4 linked regions of the Macaca fascicularis genome follow. The protein of the gene in region 1 purifies or fractionates together with the protein of each later gene. This does not show direct contact. Links are inferred from orthologs where the notes say so. Each region holds a gene or a part of one and is shown in the gene's direction. Other genes may lie near its edges. The genes, in order: COPS4, DDB2, DTL and DCAF1.

Region 1 (4,894 bases):
TTTTTTCACTTAGGAAAAATACATAGTGACTAGATTATAATTATACAGTATTCTACCTTTCTTTTTTTTGAGATGGAGTCTCGCTCTGTTGCCCAGGCTGGAGTGCAATGGCATGAGCTCGGCTCACTGCAACCTCCGCCTCCCGGGTTCAAGCTATTCTCCTGCCTCAGCCTCCCGAGTAGCTGGGACTGCAGATGTGTGCCACCATGCCCAGCTAATTTTTGTGTTTTAGTAGAGACGGGGTTTCACCATGTTGGTCAGGCTTGTCTTGAACTCCTGACCTCGTGATCTGCCTGCCTCGGGCTCCCAAAGTGCTGGGATTATAGGTGGGCCACCATGCCCAGCCTTGTATTCTACCATTTTTATGCACCACAACTTGATCACCAATAATATCATAATGGGTGATTTCCATTTTTTTTCCTAGCATAGATATTTATAAATAATTTTACAAATTAATATCCTTTTATATGCATATGTATGCACATCCCTGGCTATCTGGCTATCTTTTTAGGATTTCTTTTTTTTTTTTTTTTTTGGGACTAAGTCTCACTCTGTCACCCAGGCCGGAGTGCAATGTCACGATCTTGGCTCACTGCAGCCTCTGCCTCCTGAGTTCAAGCAATTCTCCTGTCTCAGCCTCCCGAGTAGCTGGGATTACAAGTGTGTGCCAACCATGCCCGGCTAATATTTTGTGTTTTTACCATGTTGGTCAGGGTGGTCTCGAACTCCTGACGTCAGGTGATCCCCCCCACCTAGGCCTCCCAATGTGTTGGAAATACAGGCATGAACCGCCACACCTGGCCTTAGGATTTATTTTCTAAAGGTAAATGTATGGTGGGTTAAGGGTATATGCATTTTAAAGGATTCAAAGGATGGTTGGAGAGCATATTTCCCAATTATTTTCTAGGAAGGTTGTCCCACTAGTCATATATGATATACCCCTAAACTGAGCAGTTGTTCTTTAGCTTTTAGCTTGTGAGATTGAGGATTAAAAGCAGCTAAGATATAATGTGATTAATGATAATAAAAATTCAATAAAACTTTTTAGTTTTTGTGTAATGCAGTAAAAAGTTTGATTCCCTTACGGTACTAGAATATATATGAGGAAAAAACAACATATCTTCTATTATTCCTAAAATTTTCTTGACAAAATATTGAGTCATTATGTGTTTTTCTGTTACATCCTAGACAGTACAATGTAGATTATAAACTGGAGACTTACTTGAAGATTGCTAGGCTATATCTGGAGGATGATGATCCAGTCCAGGCGGAGGCTTACATAAATAGAGCATCGTTGCTTCAGAATGAATCAACCAATGAACAATTACAGATACATTATAAGGTAACAGATAAGTTGATTTGGAATTAATTTTGTATTGGAGAATTGTGACATACTAAGATATTCCAGAACATCTGATAGATGCTCTGAAATATTAGAAATTGTTTCTCTGTTTTTTTTTTTTCAACTCTCGCTTTTTAATTTGTCGCCTAATTGAAACATTTTCCTTCTGTAGGTATGCTATGCACGTGTTCTTGATTATAGAAGAAAATTCATTGAAGCTGCACAAAGGTACAATGAACTCTCTTACAAGACAATAGTCCACGAAAGTGAAAGACTAGAGGCCTTAAAACATGCTTTGCACTGTACGATCTTAGCATCAGCAGGTAAACATGTAATAATTTATACTTAAATGAACAGTTATCTTTGCTTAATAACTGTAGGTTGGTTACTGTTGGAAAATTTAGCAAGGAACTATTCTTCAAAGGGATGTCTTTGTAATACAATTATGGTAAATGTAGTTTAAGTGTTTAAACAAAAACAGAAATAAAATGATTTGTTAAAATAATTTAATATGCTCATATCAGTCTATTATGCATATGTGTTAAGAATAGTTAAAAGAGGGCTGGGTGCGGTGGCTCACACCTGTAACGGATCACGAGGTCAGGAGATTGAGACCAGCCTGGCTAACACAGTGAAACCCCGTCTCTACTAAAAATACAAAAAATTAGCCGGGCATGGTGGCGGGCGCCTGTAGTCCCAGCTACTCAGGAGACTGAGGCAGGAGAATGGTGTGAATCCAGGAGGTGGAGCTTGCAGTGAGCTGAGATTGCGCCCCTGCACTAAAAAAAAAAAAAAAAGAATAGTTAAAAGAGATAATGTAAAGTTCTAAAATTTCACTAAAGAAGTGGATATCAACTTAAGTGAGAATTGTGCAGAGTGAAACAAAAATTAAAATCTGTAGATTGATGAAATGATAATTAATACACTGCTTTTGATTTTTTTTTTAACCTTCAAGTCTCAGTTTTAGACCTGACATTTATCCTTTTCTTCAATACATGTAACAAATATTGTTTGTTCTTTTTACTGAATTATAGCATGTAAATCACTTATGAAGTAGAATGAGTGTTAAGAGGAAATGCTAATTCTAAACCATAGCTTTTCTTAAATCACTCTATCACCCAGGCTGGAGTGCAGTGGCGCAATCACTACTCACTGCAGCCTCAACCTCCTGGGCTCAAGTGATCCTCCCACCTCAGCCTCCCAAGTAGCTGGGACTACAGGTGCACACCACCATGCCTGGCTAAATTTTTTGTATTTTTCTAGAGATGGGGTTTCTCCATGTTGCCCAGTCTGGTCTTGAGCTCCTGGGCTCATGTGATCCACCTGCCTTGGCTTCCCAAAGTGCTGAGATTACAGGTGTGAGCCACCACACCCATCCCATTTTATTCTTTATAGACTAGTAATCTTATTTATTTTATTTTTTGTTACTGAAAAGGCAGTACATGAACATGGTACTACTTCTTTTTCTAAAGAACTTTTACTGGTTTCTTACATTTCTTTCAATACAAATGGTAGCATATACACACTTTTGCAACTTGCCTTTTTATTGTAACTGTATACATCATTGTGATCTTTACATGTCAGTACATATAACTCATTCTTTTTGATTTTCTGTTGTCTGGCTTTATCATAATTCATTTAGTCAATCACAACACTATAGTGATTATGCACATGTATGAGTATATGTATAGGTTAACTTTCTGGATTCAAAGGTACATACTTTTGAATTTTTGATAGACGTTACACATTGCCCTGTACTATTACACTCCAAACAAAAATATTCATGAGCACCTGATTTCTTACACAGATATTACCACATTCTTTTATCTTTTCTGATCCGATAGATGAAAAACCATATCTCACTTTAGTTTTAATTTGTATTTACAAAAGCTCTTGAGCATTTTTTGTATGTTTAAAAACATTGTTGAAAAATCTGTATTTCTTTATTGAGTGAATTATACATTTATGTTGATTGGCCATTTTTTGAGTTGTTTGTCCTTTCTTGGTGACTTGTGAAAGCTCTTTAGATATAAAGGAAAATTAAAATTTTTCCTAACTTGTCATCTTTTTGGTTTTGTTTATGACATTTTTCCCATGCAGAACCTTTTAATGTTTACTTAATTACATTTATTAATCTTTCTTTAATGGCTTCTAAGTTTTGTTGACTTGCTTAGAAAAGTCTTCCCTACTCTGAAATTATATGTCATTTTAAATCCCTCAATGTTTTCTTTCAGTACTTTAGGTTCTCAAATTTCTTGGTGTCAGGACCCCTTTACACTCTGAAAAAGTATTGAGAACCCAAAAGCTCTTGTTTATGTAGATTCTATCTACTGATTATTAGAAATTAAATGAGTAATTTAAGATAATTTATTAATTTATTTTAAAGTAGCAATAATAGACCCTTTACATGTAAACATAAATGACACACTTTTATGAAAAACAATTATATTTTTCTAAGCAAAAAATGTTACTGGGAATGGAATTGTTTTGCATTAAAAAATTTTTTTTTCCCGGAGTCTGGCTCTGTTGCCCAGGCTGGAGTGCAGTGGTGCAATCTTGGCTCACTGCAAGCTCAGCCTCCCAGGTTCATGCCATTCTCCTGCCTCAGCCTCCCGAGTAGCTGGGACTACAGCTGCCCACCACCGCACCTGGCTAATTTTTTGTATTTTTTAGTAGAGACCGGATTTCACCATATTAGCCAGGATGGTCTCGATCTCCTGACCTTGTGATCCACCCGCCTTGGACTCCCAAAGTGCTGGGAGTACAGGTGTGAGCCACCGCGCTTGACCGAAACAGCTCAATTCTTATAGGCACTTCCTCGTTCACTCCGTTTGAATAGGTTATTTTAGTTAAAGTATATGAAGAAAATTCAGCCTCACACAGATGTGTAGCTGGAAAAGACAAGCACATTTTAATCTCATTTTCAGGTAATTGTGGATATTCTTTGATACTATACTTGACAGATGGTATAGTTTCTTACAGGTTAGTTGCAATGTGGAATCTGAAACCATATCAATAAGCTTTTTGCATTCTATGACATTAAAAATTCTGTTTTCTACTTCCTTTTACATAATAAGTTAGCATCCATTAAGAATCCCTGCTTGGGGCCGGGGGCGGTGGCTCACGCCTGTAATCCCAGCACTTTGGGAGGCCGAGGTGGGCGGATCACCTGAGGTTGTGAGTTTGAGACCAGCCTGACCAACATGGAGAAACCTCGTTTCTACTAAAAATACAAAATTAGCTGGGTGTGGTGGTACATGCCTGTAATCCCAGCTACTCGGGAGGCTGAGGCAGGAGGATCACTTCAACCCGGGAGGCGGAGGTTGCAGTGAGCCGAGATCGCGGCATTGCACTCCAGCCAGGGCAACAAGAGCGAAATTCCGTCTCGAAAAATAAAAAATAATAATAATAGTAATAATCCTTGCTTGGGTCATTCATTACATTGTATGTTACAAAATGGTGATTTGCTCATTCTATTCTTCTGCATGAACTTTTTTCTTCCTTTTTTAACTTTTATTTTGAACTTTTTACTTTGTACTTTTTTCCTGCTTA
Region 2 (4,894 bases), on another chromosome or scaffold:
GGATGACTGGAAGAATAGGAAGGGGCACAGATCTGACTCTTGCCCTCCTAACTCCACCACTGCTCTGAGCTGAAGCTCTTCTAAAGAGAGCACTGTGGGAATAGCAAATTAGGGCACATCCATAAAATGGAATAATACCTCAGCAATAAAATGAGATGAGCTTGTTGATAAAGCAAACTCAGATGAATCTCAGAGGCATGATGAGTGACATGAAACAAGACAGTCTCAAAAGGTTGCATACTGCCTAATTCATTTACATGACATTCTATTTTTAATTCTATTTTTAATTTAATTTTATTTTTAGAGACAGGATCTTGCTCTGTCACCCACGCTAGAGTGCAGTGATGCGATCACAACTCACTGCAGCCTCGACCTCCAGGGTTCCGTCATCCTCCCACCTCAGCCTTCTGAGGAGCTAGAACCACAGGCACCTACCACCATGCCTATATATATATGTGTGTGTGTGTGTGTGTGTGTGTGTATATATATATATATATTTTTTTTTTTTTTTTTTTTTTGTAGAGATGGGGGTTCTCCCTATATTGCTCAGGCTGGTCTTGAACTCCTGGCCTCAAGCAGTCCCCCCGCCTCAGTCTCCCAGGTGGTGGGATTACTGTGCCTGGTCTATTGGACATTCTATGAGGGCAAAACAATAGTGATGGAGAACAGATCAGCCAGGGGCTGGGGGCGAGGGGAGGGTGTGATTGCAATGGGATAGCACAATGGAGTTTTTGGGCTGTTGCAAATGTTCTGCATTTTGATTTGGGTGGTGGTTATTTAAATCTATACATATGTTAAAATTCAGAGAACTGTATACCCCAAATTTGCTATATGTTAATTAAAAAAAAGAAAGTAAAAATAAAGCCTTAAGAAGTGAAGGGAGGCCAGACTTAGTGGCTCACGCCTATAATCCCAGCACTTTGGGAGGCTGAGGCTGGCGGATCACCTGAGGTCAGGAGTTCAAGACCAGCCTGGCCAACATGGTGAAACCCTGTCTCTTCTAAAAATACAAAATTTAGCCATGCGTGGTGGTGGGCACCTGTAATCCCAGCTGCTTGGGAGGCTGAGGCAGGAGAATCGCTTGAACCTGGAAGGCAGAGGTTGCAATGAGCCGGGATCACGCCATTGCACTCCAGCCTGGGTGACAGAGTGGGACTCCATCTCAAAAAAAAAAAAAACAAAAAAAAGGAAAGGGAGGGAGGGAGGGAAGAAGAAAGAGAAAGAAAGAAAGGAAGAAAAAGAAAAGAAGGGGCCAGGCAAAGTGGCTCATGCCTATAATCTTAGCACTTTGGGAAGCCACGGTAGGAGGATCACTTGAGCTCAGGAGTTCGAGACCAGCCTGGGCACCACAATGAGACCCTGTCTCTACCAACAATTTTTTAAAAATTAGCACTTGTAATGCCAGCACTTAGGGAGGCTGAGGTGGGCAGATCGCTTGAGCTCAAGAGTTCAAGACCAGCCTGGGCAACATGACAAAACCCCATCTTTAAAAAAAAAAAAAAAAAAATACAAAAATGAACTGCGCATGGTGTGTGCACCTGTAGTCCCAGCTACTTGGGAGGCTGAGGTAGGAGGATCGCTTGAGCCTGGGAGATTGAGGCTGCAGTGAGCCGTGTTCGTGCCACTGCACTTCAGCCTAAGTGACAGAGAAAGACCCTATTTCAAGGGAAAAGAAAAAGAAGTGAAGGCTCTGTGGAGAGCGTCCTAGTGTTTAGGTGTCCGAGCTGACCTGGCCCCACGCACTGCTCGTTGGTGCTTCCGTGACAGCGCAGCACGCGTGCCCAGGCCTGGTTCCTCACTGCCAGGCCCATCATCACTCACTGGCTTTTTCCTTCCTCGTGTTAGATTGGAGCTGGAGGGAGCATCACTGGGCTGAAGTTTAACCCTCTCAATACCAACCAGTTTTACGCCTCCTCAATGGAGGGAACAACTAGGCTGCAAGACTTTAAAGGCAACATTCTACGAGTTTTTGCCAGCTCAGACACCATCAAGTGAGTAGTTTAACTAGGCGGGGAAAGGGCTTCTAAGCTTAGGTGTAGTTCCGGCAAGAGCATCCAGATCCCATTTCCTCAACCCAACCTGGCACAGGGAAGAAAGGAAAGATGTCAGCCACCTTCCGCCCTTCTTTCTCTTTCTCAAACTGTTCCTTGGCCACCCTCACTTTGGTCCAGGTGGGTTACTGCTTTGGGAAGGTGTTCTGGAGCCTCAGCTCTTCTGTAAGTCATACCTGTATTAGACTAGACCTGGACCTTCACTAGATAAGCCAGCATGGCATAGGCCCAGAAAGCCACCTAGAGAATGGAGCAGCAGCTAAGAACTTGAGACTGAATTCCCTGCACTCGCTGTGGTGTAATGACCTGAGCCGTTCCTGGGTGCAAGCTTACATGGATGGAATCTTGTCCATAAAGTGCTCTGAACTTCCCAAGAGAAAGTGGCTGGAGAAATTACAGAATGCAGCTGGGTGCGGTGGCTCATGCCTGTAATCCCAGCACTTTGGGAGGCCAAGGTGGGTGGATCACCTGAGGTCAGGAGTTCAAGACCAGCCTGGCCAACATGGTGAAACCCCATCTCTACTAACAATACAAAAAATGAGCCGGATGTGGTGGTAGGTGCCTGTAATTCCCAGCTACTTGGGAGGCTGAAACAAGAGAGTAGCTTGAACCCAGGAGGCAGAGGTTGCAGTGAGCCAAGATTGCGCCACTGCACTCCAGCCTGGGCAACAAGAGTGAAATTCCATCTCCAAAAAAAAAAAAAAAATTACAAAATGCTCGTCACTTTGATTTCCAGCTAGAGCCGGGACTCTGACTGCTCCCTGAGGAATTAAGTGAGGGTGCTGGGGTGTAACTAGCATTGGATGGGATCCTGGGCTGTCCTGCAGGGATGAGGAGTGCATGCGCAATTCAGCAGGTGATTGGATAGACGAGGCTCCAGGCTCGTTTTCCGCAAGAAATCTTCTTGCTTGAAGATATTCATAAGGGATGGCAAAAGTCAGTGTAGCATGGATTTGAGGGTTTGAGAGAAAAACTGAGCTGAGCTCCTCTGGCTGGATAGCAGGATCCCTGAAGCACCCCTAGTCAGCCTCCCAGTCCAGTGGTTTGAGGGACCAGAAGAGCTCCTGGTTGTGTGTTTTTCCCTCAGTGTTCAGAAGGGGGCAGAAGTGCCTTTCCAGCCAGCTCTGAGGAACAGAGCCAGGCAATCCCTGTTTGGCTTGTGTCTCCTTTGGCCCAAAGGGTGGAGAGTGAAAGGAGAGAGCAGTAAAGGAGGATTGCTTAGAACCCGGGGTGTGGGGGCGGGCGTGCCCTGAGGCTTGCTTTATGGTTTGAGCTTTGTCTGCTTCAGAGACTCTTAGGAGCTGGGGATCCTGGGCCCAGCAGTAACCAGACAGATTTCTGAGCCCCATTACCCCATTCCCTCTGTCTGGACGGTAGAGCAGTCTGAATGTTCCTCGCTAGGAATCCACAGCAAGACAGTTATTCATTCATTCAACAAATATTTATTGAATGCCCACTGTGGGTTAGTCACTGGAGCAGCAACAGTGAGTAAACAGGCCTATCTCTGTCCCCAAGAATCTTACAACACAGTCTTTCCCTCCAGCATCTGGTTTTGTAGCCTGGATGTGTCCGCCAGTAGCCGAATGGTGGTCACAGGAGACAACGTGGGGAACGTGATCCTGCTGAACATGGACGGCAAAGAGGTGCGTTCTCCCAGGTCCTGCCTTTCCCTCCCTCATCCCCGCCTCGGTTCTGTGTCCCCACCTGAACCGAGCTCTTCTCTGCAGCTTTGGAATCTCAGAATGCACAAAAAGAAAGTGACGCATGTGGCCCTGAACCCATGCTGTGATTGGTTCCTGGCCACAGCCTCCGTAGATCAAACAGTGAAAATCTGGGACCTGCGCCAGGTTAGAGGGAAAGCCAGCTTCCTCTACTCGCTGCCGCACAGGCATCCTGTCAACGCAGGTGTGATATCCCAGACCTCATCTCTCCTGCAGACCCTGCCTATCTGACTGCTGCTGGGGTGTTCCCTCAGCGTGGAAGCCACTACCACAAACCTTTACCCCTGATAGCGTCTGCCAAGCTGATGTCTGGGAATCTTTGTGGCTGTGGCTGTCCCCATCAACTGCTGAGTTTCCAGAATTTTGTTGTTGTTCATAGCCCAGATTCACCTCTTCCTTTCCGCTCCTGTCTAGAGAGGAGTGGTAGGGAGGGTACCCCTGCAGGAGAAGGCCTGCAAGGCCAGGACCACAGGGGGCTCGTGGTTCCTTCAGCTCAGGGGCTTTTCACTTTGCCAGCTTGTTTCAGTCCCGATGGAGCCCGGCTCCTGACCACGGACCAGAAGAGCGAGATCCGAATTTACTCTGCTTCCCAGTGGGACTGCCCCCTGGGCCTGATCCCACACCCTCACCGTCACTTCCAGCACCTCACACCCATCAAGGTGAGTGGCGGAGGGAAGGAGCTCCCAGAAGGAAGCTGTGATCATGAGGCTGGAGCAGGTCTGCCCACGGTGGGGAAGGGCTGATGTGGTAAGCCTGCCACCCCAGATCGCTCCTGGCCCAAGCACAGAGCATCTCTTACCCTTTGGCTCTCTCTCTTCCTTTTATCCCACTTCTGCCATTCCATATGGTTGAGTTTTCTTTTTGTCTCTCTGATAAAGTATTTTTCTGAGTTTTTTCAGCCCAGCTCTGATCTCACGGTGAGCATTTTCTAAGATCCTACCCTCTGTTCTGTCTTCTCAGCTTCAGTTACCTGTGTACAGTTGACCCACAAACCTTCACCTTTTATTTATTTATTTATTTATTTATTTATTTTATTTTATTTATTTATTTATTTTTTTGAGACGGAGTCTCACTCTGTCGCCCAGGCTGGAGTGCAGTGGCCGGGTCTCAGCTCACTGCAAG
Region 3 (4,894 bases), on another chromosome or scaffold:
CATTTTGCAGTTGATTTTTTTTAATTCCAAAACATGTATATTTACATAACCTTTGAACAGAGGCTTTTGTTGTTTCTACACACTTATTCTGTAGGTTAATACTTGTGAACTCAACGTAACTATTGCATTTTTTTTTTGGAGACGGAGTGTTGCTCTGTCGCCCAGGCTGGAGTGCAGTGGCGCAGTCTCGACTCACTGCAAGCTCTGCCTCCCGGGTTCACGCCATTCTCCTGCCTCAGCCTCCTGAGTAACTGGGACTACAGGCGCCTGCCACCATGCCTGGCTAATTTTTTTTGTTTTGTTTTTGTTTTTGTTTTTATTTTTAGTAGAGACGGGGTTTCACGGATTAGCCAGGATGGTCTTGATCTCCTAACCTCGTGATCCTCCCACCTCGGCCTCCCAAAGTGCTGGGATTACAGGCATGAGCCAACGCGCCCAGCCTATTGCATTCTTTTAGTGGTCTTTAACAGCTCCTTTACAATGATATCTGATGTTGAAATTATGACATGATGGCCCCAGAACTAATTATTAAATTTGGATTAAATTTTTTGGTGCCCTTCTATTGATTCCTTCAGGTTATGTCTATGAGCATCCAAATGTAGATTTGTCTGAGGTTATATCAAGCTAGGATGTATTCTCCACATAGTACTTTTGATGAAAAGTGAGAATTCAGAGTACCCTAAAATGTGAGTTTGTTATGCTTTCAATAGATTGTAAACTCAGTGATTCCTCCAATGCTTATTGAACATTTGGTTTTCAGTAATTACTTGTTGAATGAATGTTTCTTTTATATGTTTAAAATGTCTTGACCACAAATGAGTATGATAAAAACAAATCTCTGAAGATATCTTACTATGTAGGACCATAGTGCACGTTAGATCTCTGACCCAAGCAGAATAAACTTTTCTTCCACCCTGAGTTTCCTGTTCTCTATTCTAAATTCAGTGAAAATTTACCCATCTTTCAAGACCTCCTGTAAAGACTGCCTGACCCACTGCCACTAGCCAGGGCTAACTAAATGTTTACTAGGGGTAGGTACATAACGCTTCACTTTACAATTTCTCTAATATCATTTAAGATACTATAAGCGTTGCTATTAACATTTTAGATTCCTACAATTTCAGCAGTAAAGGAAAAAGAAAGTAAATTTGGTGAATATGTTACTGGCTATAGTAGTTGCATTGATATATATTATTTTCTTTGGCTCTTTGACCACTGGATTTTGTATGATGTTCCAGCATAAGAATTTAATAGAAAGGGATAACAGTTTTAATGGAATGCTTTTGTGGTTGTCTCTTTGGTAGGAGAAGGAGGAAGATCTTTCTTAATATGCAAAGGCCTCTTATTTCTTCTAATCTCAATGTGCTAGTGAGAGTCTTCATTTTAGATAGTAAGCCCAAAGCTATACCTCCCCAGAAGTTGGAAGTGCTTTTTCATTTTTTCCTTAGGACTCTTTTAAGGAAATACCAGAAACAGTGTCTTCCATAGATATTAATAGTAAGTGGATCTATGTTAATATCTAAAGTTTCTTAAGAACAAATATATACCTCTGGATTTGTTAAAAATGCTGAAATGTGATGCTCTATTGGAATTCTATAAGGAATTGTCTTGTTTTAGGATGGTCTTCACAATACCCTCTACAATCCCTTCTGACTGGTTATCAATGCAGTGGTAATGATGAACACACTTCTTATGGAGAAACAGGAGTCCCGGTTCCTCCTTTTGGATGTACCTTCTCTTCTGGTAAGAGAATTACTCTCTAGGCAAGGCTTGGACAGAAATGATCTATTTCACATTTACAGGGCAAATATACTTCAAAAAGTAAACTAGGTAGATGTTAGAGTTTTTGTAAAAACTGTTGTCTTTTGATTTATAAAATAGACTTTTCTTAATCTCTATGCATCATTAGCATAACTATATTTCTTCTAAAGCATAGGATTATTATAGCACCATTTTTAAAAAACCAATATAAGGAAATGGTGGCAAAGGTTCAGCTACAATGAAAACTGTTTTACCCAGTAGATACATACCCTTTGATCTGGTTGAATGTATCTTTCTGTGACTCACTGGGGAATATATGAACAGAAATAGAAGTACTTTGGCCAAGCTGAGTAGCTCACGCCTGAAATCCCAGCACTTTAGGAGGCCAAGGCGGGTCTGGGTGCAGTGGCTCACACTTGTAATCCCAGAACTTTGGGAGGCCAAGGCGGGTAGATCACTTGAGGTCAGGAGTTCGAGGCCAGCCTGGCCAACATGGTAAAACCCCATCTCTACTAAAATTGCAAAAAATTAGCTGGGCGTAGTGGCGCATGCCTGTAATCTCAGCTACCTGGGAGGCTGAGACAAGAGAATCACTTGAACCTGAGAGGCAGAGGTTGCTGTGAGCCAAGATTGTGCCATTGCACTCCAGCCTGGGTGACAGAGTGAGACTTCATCTCCAAAAAAAGAAAAAAGAAAGAAATGGAAGTACTTGTCTCCACCCATAATAGTTTTGAGAGGAGAGAAAAAGTTGTGAAAAGGAAATTTAAAACTAATAGACTCCTTACAGAAATTAGCCGAGCGTGGTGGTGCACGCCTGTAGTCCCGGCTACTGGGGAGGCTGAGGCAAGAGAATCGCTTGAACCTGGGAGTCGGAGGTTGCAGTGAGCCAAGATCACGCCACTGCATTCCAGCCTAGGTGACAGAGGGAGACTGCGTCTCAAAAACAAAAACTAATAGACTATTACGTAGCAATGATTGTGGTAAAAATACGTAAATAAAAATATGATTAAAAAAAAAAAACAAAACTAATAGACTCAGCCTGCTGGCGGCCTATATCATCATATGCTTTTGTTTGCCATTGGCCAGTACCACTCCTGTTTTGTTTAAGTACAACCCTCGATTTAGCCCTTCTCTAAATAAGAGATTATGTGAAGAAAATTTTGGTGGTTTTGAGGAAACTTAAAAAGTTTTGTGGCTGGGCGCAGTGGCTTATGCCTGTAATCCCAGCACTTTGGCAGGCTGAGGCAGGTGGATCACTTGAGGTTAGGTATTCAAAACCAGCCTGACTAACATGGTGAAACCCCATCTCTGGTAAAAATACAAAATTAGCTGGGTGTGGTGGTGCATGCCTGTAATCCCAGCTACTTGGGAGGCTGAGGCAGGAGAATCACTTGCACCCAGGAGGTGGAGGTTGCAGTGAGCCAAATCGTGCCATTGCAGTCCAGCCTGGGCGACAGAGCCAGACTCCGTCTAAAAAAAAAAAAAAATTTTGTGTTACTCTTCATATATTTTATTCTTTATTTCTGCTTTAGCTCCCAATATGGAACACGTACTAGCAGTTGCCAATGAAGAAGGCTTTGTTCGATTGTATAACACTGAATCACAAACTTTCAGAAAGAAGTGCTTCAAAGGTAAGTCTAGGTCTACAATTTTTGTTTTAACATTTAAAAAACTTTACAGATCCTCAAGTGTATTATTATTTGAACACATTCTGTTTTAGTCTGTCTTGTGTTGCTACAAAGGAATAACTGAGACTGGGTAGTTTATAAAGAAAAAAGGTTTATTTGGTGCATGATTCTGCTGGCTAGAAGATTAGACATCTGGTGAAGGCCTCAGTCTGCCCCAACTCATGGCAGAAAGCAAAGAGGAGCCCATGAATACAGAGGTTACATGGCAAGAGAAAGGGGTAGTACCAAGCTCTTTTTTAAACAATCAGCTTTCCAGGGAACTAATAGAGTAAGAAGTCACTCATCTGTTCACCTCTTAGGGAGGGCATTAATCTGTTCATGAGGGATACACCCCCATGACCCAAATGCCTTCCATTAAGTCCCACCTCCAACTTTCAGGATTGAATTGTAACATGAGATTTGGGAAGGGACAAACATCTGAAGTATATATAACACATTCCTGATTATGTTAACTTCTGATGAAGTCTTTTTAGGGACCAGGTTAGATGTGAATGGTGGACTACCTATCTGTCAATAACTGTTAACTATGACAATGCCTTTACTCAAAGTTAAGAAAAATACATTTTAGGATTAAAAACAATTCCTTCAAAAAGTTGAATCTTTAACACTTAATGTGGTTAGAGAAGTGTTGCTTTAAAATATTTATATTGATCGAACATTTTTCAGGTATAAAGCAAAGTTCTTCTAACCTTAAGAAGCTGATAATTTGGAACCTATAAGTCAAGTGTTGAAATAAATAAAACAAAGGCTATAAATTATACAGAAGTAGAAAGAAAACACACTGGTGTCAAAGAGAAAACTCTCATGTAGTAAAGAAGGCTAGGAAAATTTATGAAGAATGGGGCATTTGAGTTGGACTATGGTATTTAGACCGGTGGAAATGGAAGGGGGTACTCCAGGTGAAGGGAAAAGCATTAGCAAAGGTCTAGAGATGGAAAAGCATAGGATATAATAAAATAGGAAGTGACCAATTTGGTTGGAATAAGATATCGAAAACAGTGAGAGATGAGGCTTGCAACCAAGATAAAGACTAAAGAATGCAAAATGTTGAATGTCAAACTAAAGTATTTTACATTCCATTCAGAGAGCATCATGAAGTTCTTTTTATTTTTGTTTTTTGTTTGTTTGTTTGTTTGTTTTTGGTAGAGATGGGGTTTTACCATGTTAGCCAGGCTGGTTAACTCCTGGCCTCAAGTGATCTGCCTGCCTCGGCCTCCCAAAGTGCTGGGATTACAGGTGTGAGCCACTGTGCCCAGCCAGTATCATGAAGATTTTTGAACTGGAATATGTTTCAGAAAGATTCCATTTTAGAGAATATATAACTAGTGAACTCATGGAAAGGAATTTGACATCAGATGTTAGTTCTCATGTGGTAATTAAGGGAATGTGTAATTTCTATGAGTCCACAAATTATCTTTGCTCATGCCAAAGAGTGCTGACTACTG
Region 4 (5,364 bases), on another chromosome or scaffold:
CAGCCACTGGAGAAGTCATCACTGGGCCGGCTAGACCATAGACAGAGGGGAGATATCTAAGGCTTAAATGTCCCATCTCCATACATTTTAGGTTCATGGCCCAGGAAAGTCACCTGAAGGAGTGCTGGAGGAAAGGCATGTGGGTTCCATTCCTTGATCTACCTCTCTGGGTTCAGATTTCTCATCTGTAAAGGTGATTAACCATATCTTCCCTGTGTGTGTGGCAGGGTAGTGAGGGTTAAATGAGAGAGTGTGGCTAGAACACTTGGCTCAGAGCCCAGCATGCTCTAAAGTTGAAAGAAATGGTAGTGGCCATTACTGATAGAGGCAAAGTTCCAGAAGCACAGAGAAGAAAGCTGTGTGTTGTTGCAGGAGAAAGAAGTGAAGAGAGGTGACATGTCTGTGGCGCTCCCAGCACACAGTAGAGTACACATTTAAGAGAAGGAGGATGGTCTCTTTTCTGGAAAGAGGGAAATGGGATCTAGTGGGGAGTGAAACCAAGGGAACCAGGATTCAGGTTCCTTACTAGCTGTGGAACACTGAGCATAGCGGCAGGCTTGCTGTGTCTTGTGTTCATGTGACAGTATTGTCCGTGAAGACTCATGGAAATGCACGGAGACTTGCTCAGCATTCCCAGAGAGATAATGAGCTGCGTAAGGCCTTGAAGGTTGGGTAGGATCTTGTCAGGTCAAGATTCTCCTCAAATGTGGAGTCATGTTTATCTTCTATGCCCCGCAAAAGGGACCGCTGGTCGGAGTAAGGAGTCTTCTGGTTCTGCTAATTGGTTGTGTGATGCTGGGCAAGTCACTCACTCCCTCTGGGCCTCATTTTTCCCAATAACATGAAGAAATTGAATTAAGTGACCTGTGAGGTCAGTCCTGCCTCAATCTATGAGCTTTTGATTTTTCACTTCTCTGCCTCACGTATAATACCTGGCAATAAGTATCTATTGATTCCTACAGGCTAGGTCTTGAACAAAAAGAGAGGCTGGGCGCAGTGGCTCATACCTGTAATCCCAACACTTTGAGGGACTGAGGCAGGAGAATCACTTGAGCCTAGAAATTCAAGACCAACCTGGACAACACAGTGGGACTCCGTCTCTACAAAAATTTTAAAAAATTAGCTGGGTGTGGTGGTGCACACCCGTAGTCCCAGCTACTTGGGAGACTGAAGTGGGAAGACAGCTCGAGCCCAGGAGGTTGAGGCTGTAGTGAGCTGTGATTGCGCCATTGCACCCCAGCGTGGGTGACAGAGCGAGGCTCTGTCTCAAAAAAAAAAAAAAAAAAAGACGGAGAACAAAGAGGCTGGGAGGCCCCGGTGGGTGGACCGCTTCAGCCCAGGAGTTCGAGACCAGACTGGCCAATATGGTGAAACCATGTCTCTACCAAATACACACACACAAAACAAAAACAAAAATTAACTGGGTGTCGTGGCATGCACCTGTAGTCTCAGCTGGAGGCTGAGGTGGGAGGACTGTTTGAGCCCGGGAGGCGGAGGTCGCAGTGAGCTGAGATCGTCACTGCACTCCAGCCTGGGCAACAGAGCGAGGCTCTGTCTCAAAACAAACACATAAAAAACAACTAGTGCCTTCTGTTTTAATGAGTGCTGTGATTTCTGATATGTTTATGAGAAAATATTTTCTTAGATCACGGTATGTTCTAGGTAAGATGAGGCAAATAGCCGAATAAAACAGAGGCTCTTTGCGCACACAGGTCAGAACAAGACACTAAAGCATCAGGCGATTATAGTACTGTCTTGGAAGGATTGACTCCCTCACTTTTCACTTCCGCTTTCCGAAGCAGCCAATGAGTACTCAGCAGTTCGCATTTATCCAAAAAAACTACAAATCCAGAAGTCAATGCGCGGGGCGAAGAGCTCATGCGTCAATTGGGACTGGTGGGCCCGCCCCTAGACGCGGAACTTCATTTCCCAGGCGTCCCCGGGGCTCTTCGATTTTCCTCGGATCGTGCAGGCGTTCTCCTCCCGCCCCTTGCTCACTGTCCTCGCGCCAAGTAGGCGCGCGCGCCCGCGCGCGCGGTGCACGTAGCGCGCGAGTGACGCATAATATGTGGGCCGCTGTGGAGCCGTGGTCGCGCTGTGTGTGTATGTGAGTGAAGAGTGAGTGCGGGACCTGAGGCTGTGTGTGTGAACTGTGGCCACTGGCGGGGTCGCGGGGGGGCAGTGGCGGAGCCGCCTCGGACGGTGAGTGGGAAATGGAGGGAGGCGACTCTACGGGAGGGGCGCGAGGAGGCAGGGCGCGTGGCTGGCCGGGCGGCAGAGTGGGCGCCGGGCTGGGGGAGGGGCGGCACCTGCTTGGGCCGCCGGCGAGGAGGGGGCGGGCCGGTCAGCCGGGAGGCTGGGCCCGGGGCCTGACAGGACTTTTCCTCCTCCTGATTCTTGTCCCGGGGGCGGGGCCTCCACGTTCTTCCTCCACTCCCCACGAGAAGCTTCCCGAGAGTAACTCTTCCGCCCGGAGTGGGGGGGCGGGGTGTGTCAGCCCCTACCTGGAGGGAGGGGCGCATGTCATATCCCTTGTCATCTTTTCCCTTCCAATCTTCCTAGTCTCTGTTCCGTACGGGCTTGGGGGGGCTCCATCTTCCGTACTATACGGCGGGCCCCTTCACGGACTGTGTCTCCGCCTCCGGCTCCAGTCACCTGGGCGGGCTCTCCAGTCTCTCGGCCTCGTGCCACCTCTCCCTGCACCCGCCCGGCTCTTGGACCTTGCGACGGGGGCGGAGCTTTCTGGTCACTCCTCTCATCCCCATGAAGAAGGGAAGGGTTGGAAAGAGGTGTGCGGGTCCCGCAGCCTGGAGTCAAACCTCAGAGTGCCCGCCAAACTTCCCGGGAGTCTGTTTCCGGGGGTTATAGTAGTTTTCAACTGGGGTTTCAGAAGCGTTTGCTTCACAACTTCACTTCCTAGACGGTTTTCTGTCTGGCTTCCTCTTACTGCAGTGGCAGCGCTCTGGTTTTCCATTTGTTGAGGAAATAGTTTTGGAGTGTTTGTATTAGTTATTTTTGAGTCAGAAATGACTTGTCCTTGGCCACGTCATGTTGGTCTCGGTTTTTCCTTACCCTGTTTTTTCGATGAAGCCTTTTAATTAGTCTTTACACGTTTTAATTTTTTATGTTAGTAGCATCTTCCTGTTCAAAATGCATTGTTAATGTACAGAATGAGAGGTTAATTGGTAATATCCTTCATTTTCTTTTTCCAGCTTACTGGAGTTTACCTTTAATGTTTATGTGTGTATATGTAGACTTTAGGAATCGATTTAGTATTTTTCTTAATGATGTGAACATTTGGGTTTTCTATATAGCAGTTATTCATTACCCATTTTTGAGTAGGTATATATATTTGGATGTTGAGATAATAGAGAATTTGGGGAGTGTAGGGAAATCATTTTTTGCTCAGTACCTCTTGGGTAGTTGCTGAGTACAGTGTTTTACTGTTCTGCCTATTATACAGTTTTTAAATTTTTTATTTTTATTCATTTATTTTTTGTAGAGACAGTAGTCTTACTGTGTTGCCCAGGCTGGTCTGGAACTCAAGTGATCCTCCCTTGTCAACCTCCCAAAGTGTTGGAATTACAGGCACGAGCCACTACACCTAGACTGTTTTTTTTTTAGATACAGGATCTTGCTCTGTAGCCTAGGCTGGAGTGCAGTGGTGTGATCATAACCCTTTTTTTTTTTTTTTTTGAGACAGAGTCTCGCTCTGTCGCCCAGGCTGGAGTGCAGTGATGCGATCTCGGCTCACTGCAAGCTCCGCCTCCTAGGTTCACGCCATTCTCCTGCCTCAGTCTCCTGAGTAGCTGAGATTACAGACGCCTGACATCACGCCCGGCTAATTTTTTGTAGAGACAGGGTTTCAGTGTGTTAGCCAGGATGGTCTCGAGTGTGATCATAACTCATTGCAGCCTCTAACTCCTGGACTCAAAGGAGCCTGCTGCCTCAGCCTCCTGAGTAACTAGGACTGCAGGCACAGGCTACCATGATTGGGTAATTTTTAAATTTTTGTGTAGACTGTGTCTCGAAATGTTGCCCAACTGACCTCAAGTAATCCTCCCGACTTGGCCTTCCAAAGTGTTGGGATTACAGGCTTGAGCCACTGTGCCTGGCAAGTTTTTAATTTTTTTTTTTTTTTTTGAGACGGAGTCTTGCCCTGTTGCCCAGGCTGGAGTGCAGTGGCATGATCTCCGCTCACTGCAACCTCCGCTTCCCGGGTTCAAGTGATTCTCATGCCTCAGCCTCTGGAGTAGCTAGGGATTACAGGTGTGTGCTACCACGCCTGGCTAATTTTTTTATTTTTAGTAGAGATGCGGATTTGCCATTTTGGCCAGTCTGGTCTTGAACTTTGGCCTCAAGTAATCCACCCACTTCAGTCTCCCAAAGTGCTAGGATTACAGGCATGAGCCATTGTGCCCGGCAAACAATTGTTAATATTATGCCATATTTTTTCTGTTTTTGTGTGTGGTATCTATATATTTATTTTGTGGACTACGCTAGCAGACACTTGTTAGGATAAGGAAATTTTACATAAGTATTTCTTGAGGCTTTGTATTATCCCACCATGGGGACAATATTGTCATTTAACCCCGCACAACAACTGTTTCCATCTTACAGATAAGGAAATTGAGATTTGGAGAAGTTAAATAACCAAGACTTCACAGGTATGTCAGCAGAATTGGGATTTGAATCCTTGAAATACTTTTTCTACCTAGTACTAGCTGGTCTTGGGGACCTCTCGGAGCTTGTTTCCTCATGTGTAAAAAAGGGTAGGATGGTTGTGAAAATTCAGAATAATGTAAGTGTAGTAAATTACTTACTCAATGTCTGTTCCATACTAGATATTCACTAATTGGTAACTATGTGTCACCATTGGACAGACCATCATTTCTTCATAGCACTTAAATAACTCACTTAAGAACTTGAGTAATGCATCCTCACTGTCTTGGGCATAACAAGGTGAAGATGACTGTCTTTTTGCTCTTGTTGCCCAAACTGGAGTGTAGTGGTGCGATCTCGGCTCCCCACAACCTCTGCCTCCTGGGTTCAAGTGATTCTCCTGCCTCAGCCTCCCGAGTAGCTGGGATTACAGGCACGTGCCACCATGCCTGGCTAATTTTTTTTGTATTTTTGTAGAGACGCAGTTTCACTATGTTGGCCAGGCTGGTCTCGAATTCCTGACCTTGTGATCCACCGGCCTCGGCCTCCCAAAGTGCTGGGATTACCAGGCGTGAGCCATTGTGCCCGGCCTAATTTTGTGTTTTTAGTAGAGACGGGGTTTCTTCATGTTGGTCAGGCTGGTCTCAAACTCCCAACCTCAGGTGATCTGCCTGCCTTGGCCTCCCAAAGAGCTGGGATTAC

What was found.
Region 2: the proteins of COPS4 (region 1) and DDB2 purify together in Homo sapiens (affinity purification with mass spectrometry; 7 studies listed by BioGRID and IntAct, counting the BioPlex papers as one, with this or other methods). This does not show direct contact. The link is inferred for Macaca fascicularis from reciprocal best matches to the Homo sapiens genes COPS4 and DDB2.
Region 3: the proteins of COPS4 (region 1) and DTL purify together in Homo sapiens (affinity purification with mass spectrometry; 3 studies listed by BioGRID). This does not show direct contact. The link is inferred for Macaca fascicularis from reciprocal best matches to the Homo sapiens genes COPS4 and DTL.
Region 4: the proteins of COPS4 (region 1) and DCAF1 purify together in Homo sapiens (affinity purification with mass spectrometry; 4 studies listed by BioGRID, with this or other methods). This does not show direct contact. The link is inferred for Macaca fascicularis from reciprocal best matches to the Homo sapiens genes COPS4 and DCAF1.

Annotation. Positions count from the first base shown.
Region 1 is NC_088379.1:50,781,873-50,786,766, reverse strand, and holds part of COPS4 (COP9 signalosome complex subunit 4), read left to right. Parts: intron 1-1,188; coding exon 1,189-1,342; intron 1,343-1,514; coding exon 1,515-1,665; intron 1,666-4,894. UniProt on the Homo sapiens protein: Component of the COP9 signalosome complex (CSN), a complex involved in various cellular and developmental processes.
Region 2 is NC_088388.1:18,610,702-18,615,595, reverse strand, and holds part of DDB2 (DNA damage-binding protein 2), read left to right. Parts: intron 1-1,845; coding exon 1,846-1,991; intron 1,992-3,594; coding exon 3,595-3,694; intron 3,695-3,778; coding exon 3,779-3,956; intron 3,957-4,288; coding exon 4,289-4,431; intron 4,432-4,894.
Region 3 is NC_088375.1:69,850,371-69,855,264, forward strand, and holds part of DTL (denticleless protein homolog), read left to right. Parts: intron 1-1,617; coding exon 1,618-1,743; intron 1,744-3,293; coding exon 3,294-3,392; intron 3,393-4,894. UniProt on the Homo sapiens protein: Substrate-specific adapter of a DCX (DDB1-CUL4-X-box) E3 ubiquitin-protein ligase complex required for cell cycle control, DNA damage response and translesion DNA synthesis.
Region 4 is NC_088376.1:114,509,870-114,515,233, reverse strand, and holds the start of DCAF1 (DDB1- and CUL4-associated factor 1), read left to right. Parts: upstream 1-2,075; 5' UTR 2,076-2,202; intron 2,203-4,620; 5' UTR 4,621-4,667; intron 4,668-5,364. UniProt on the Homo sapiens protein: Acts both as a substrate recognition component of E3 ubiquitin-protein ligase complexes and as an atypical serine/threonine-protein kinase, playing key roles in various processes such as cell cycle, telomerase regulation and histone modification.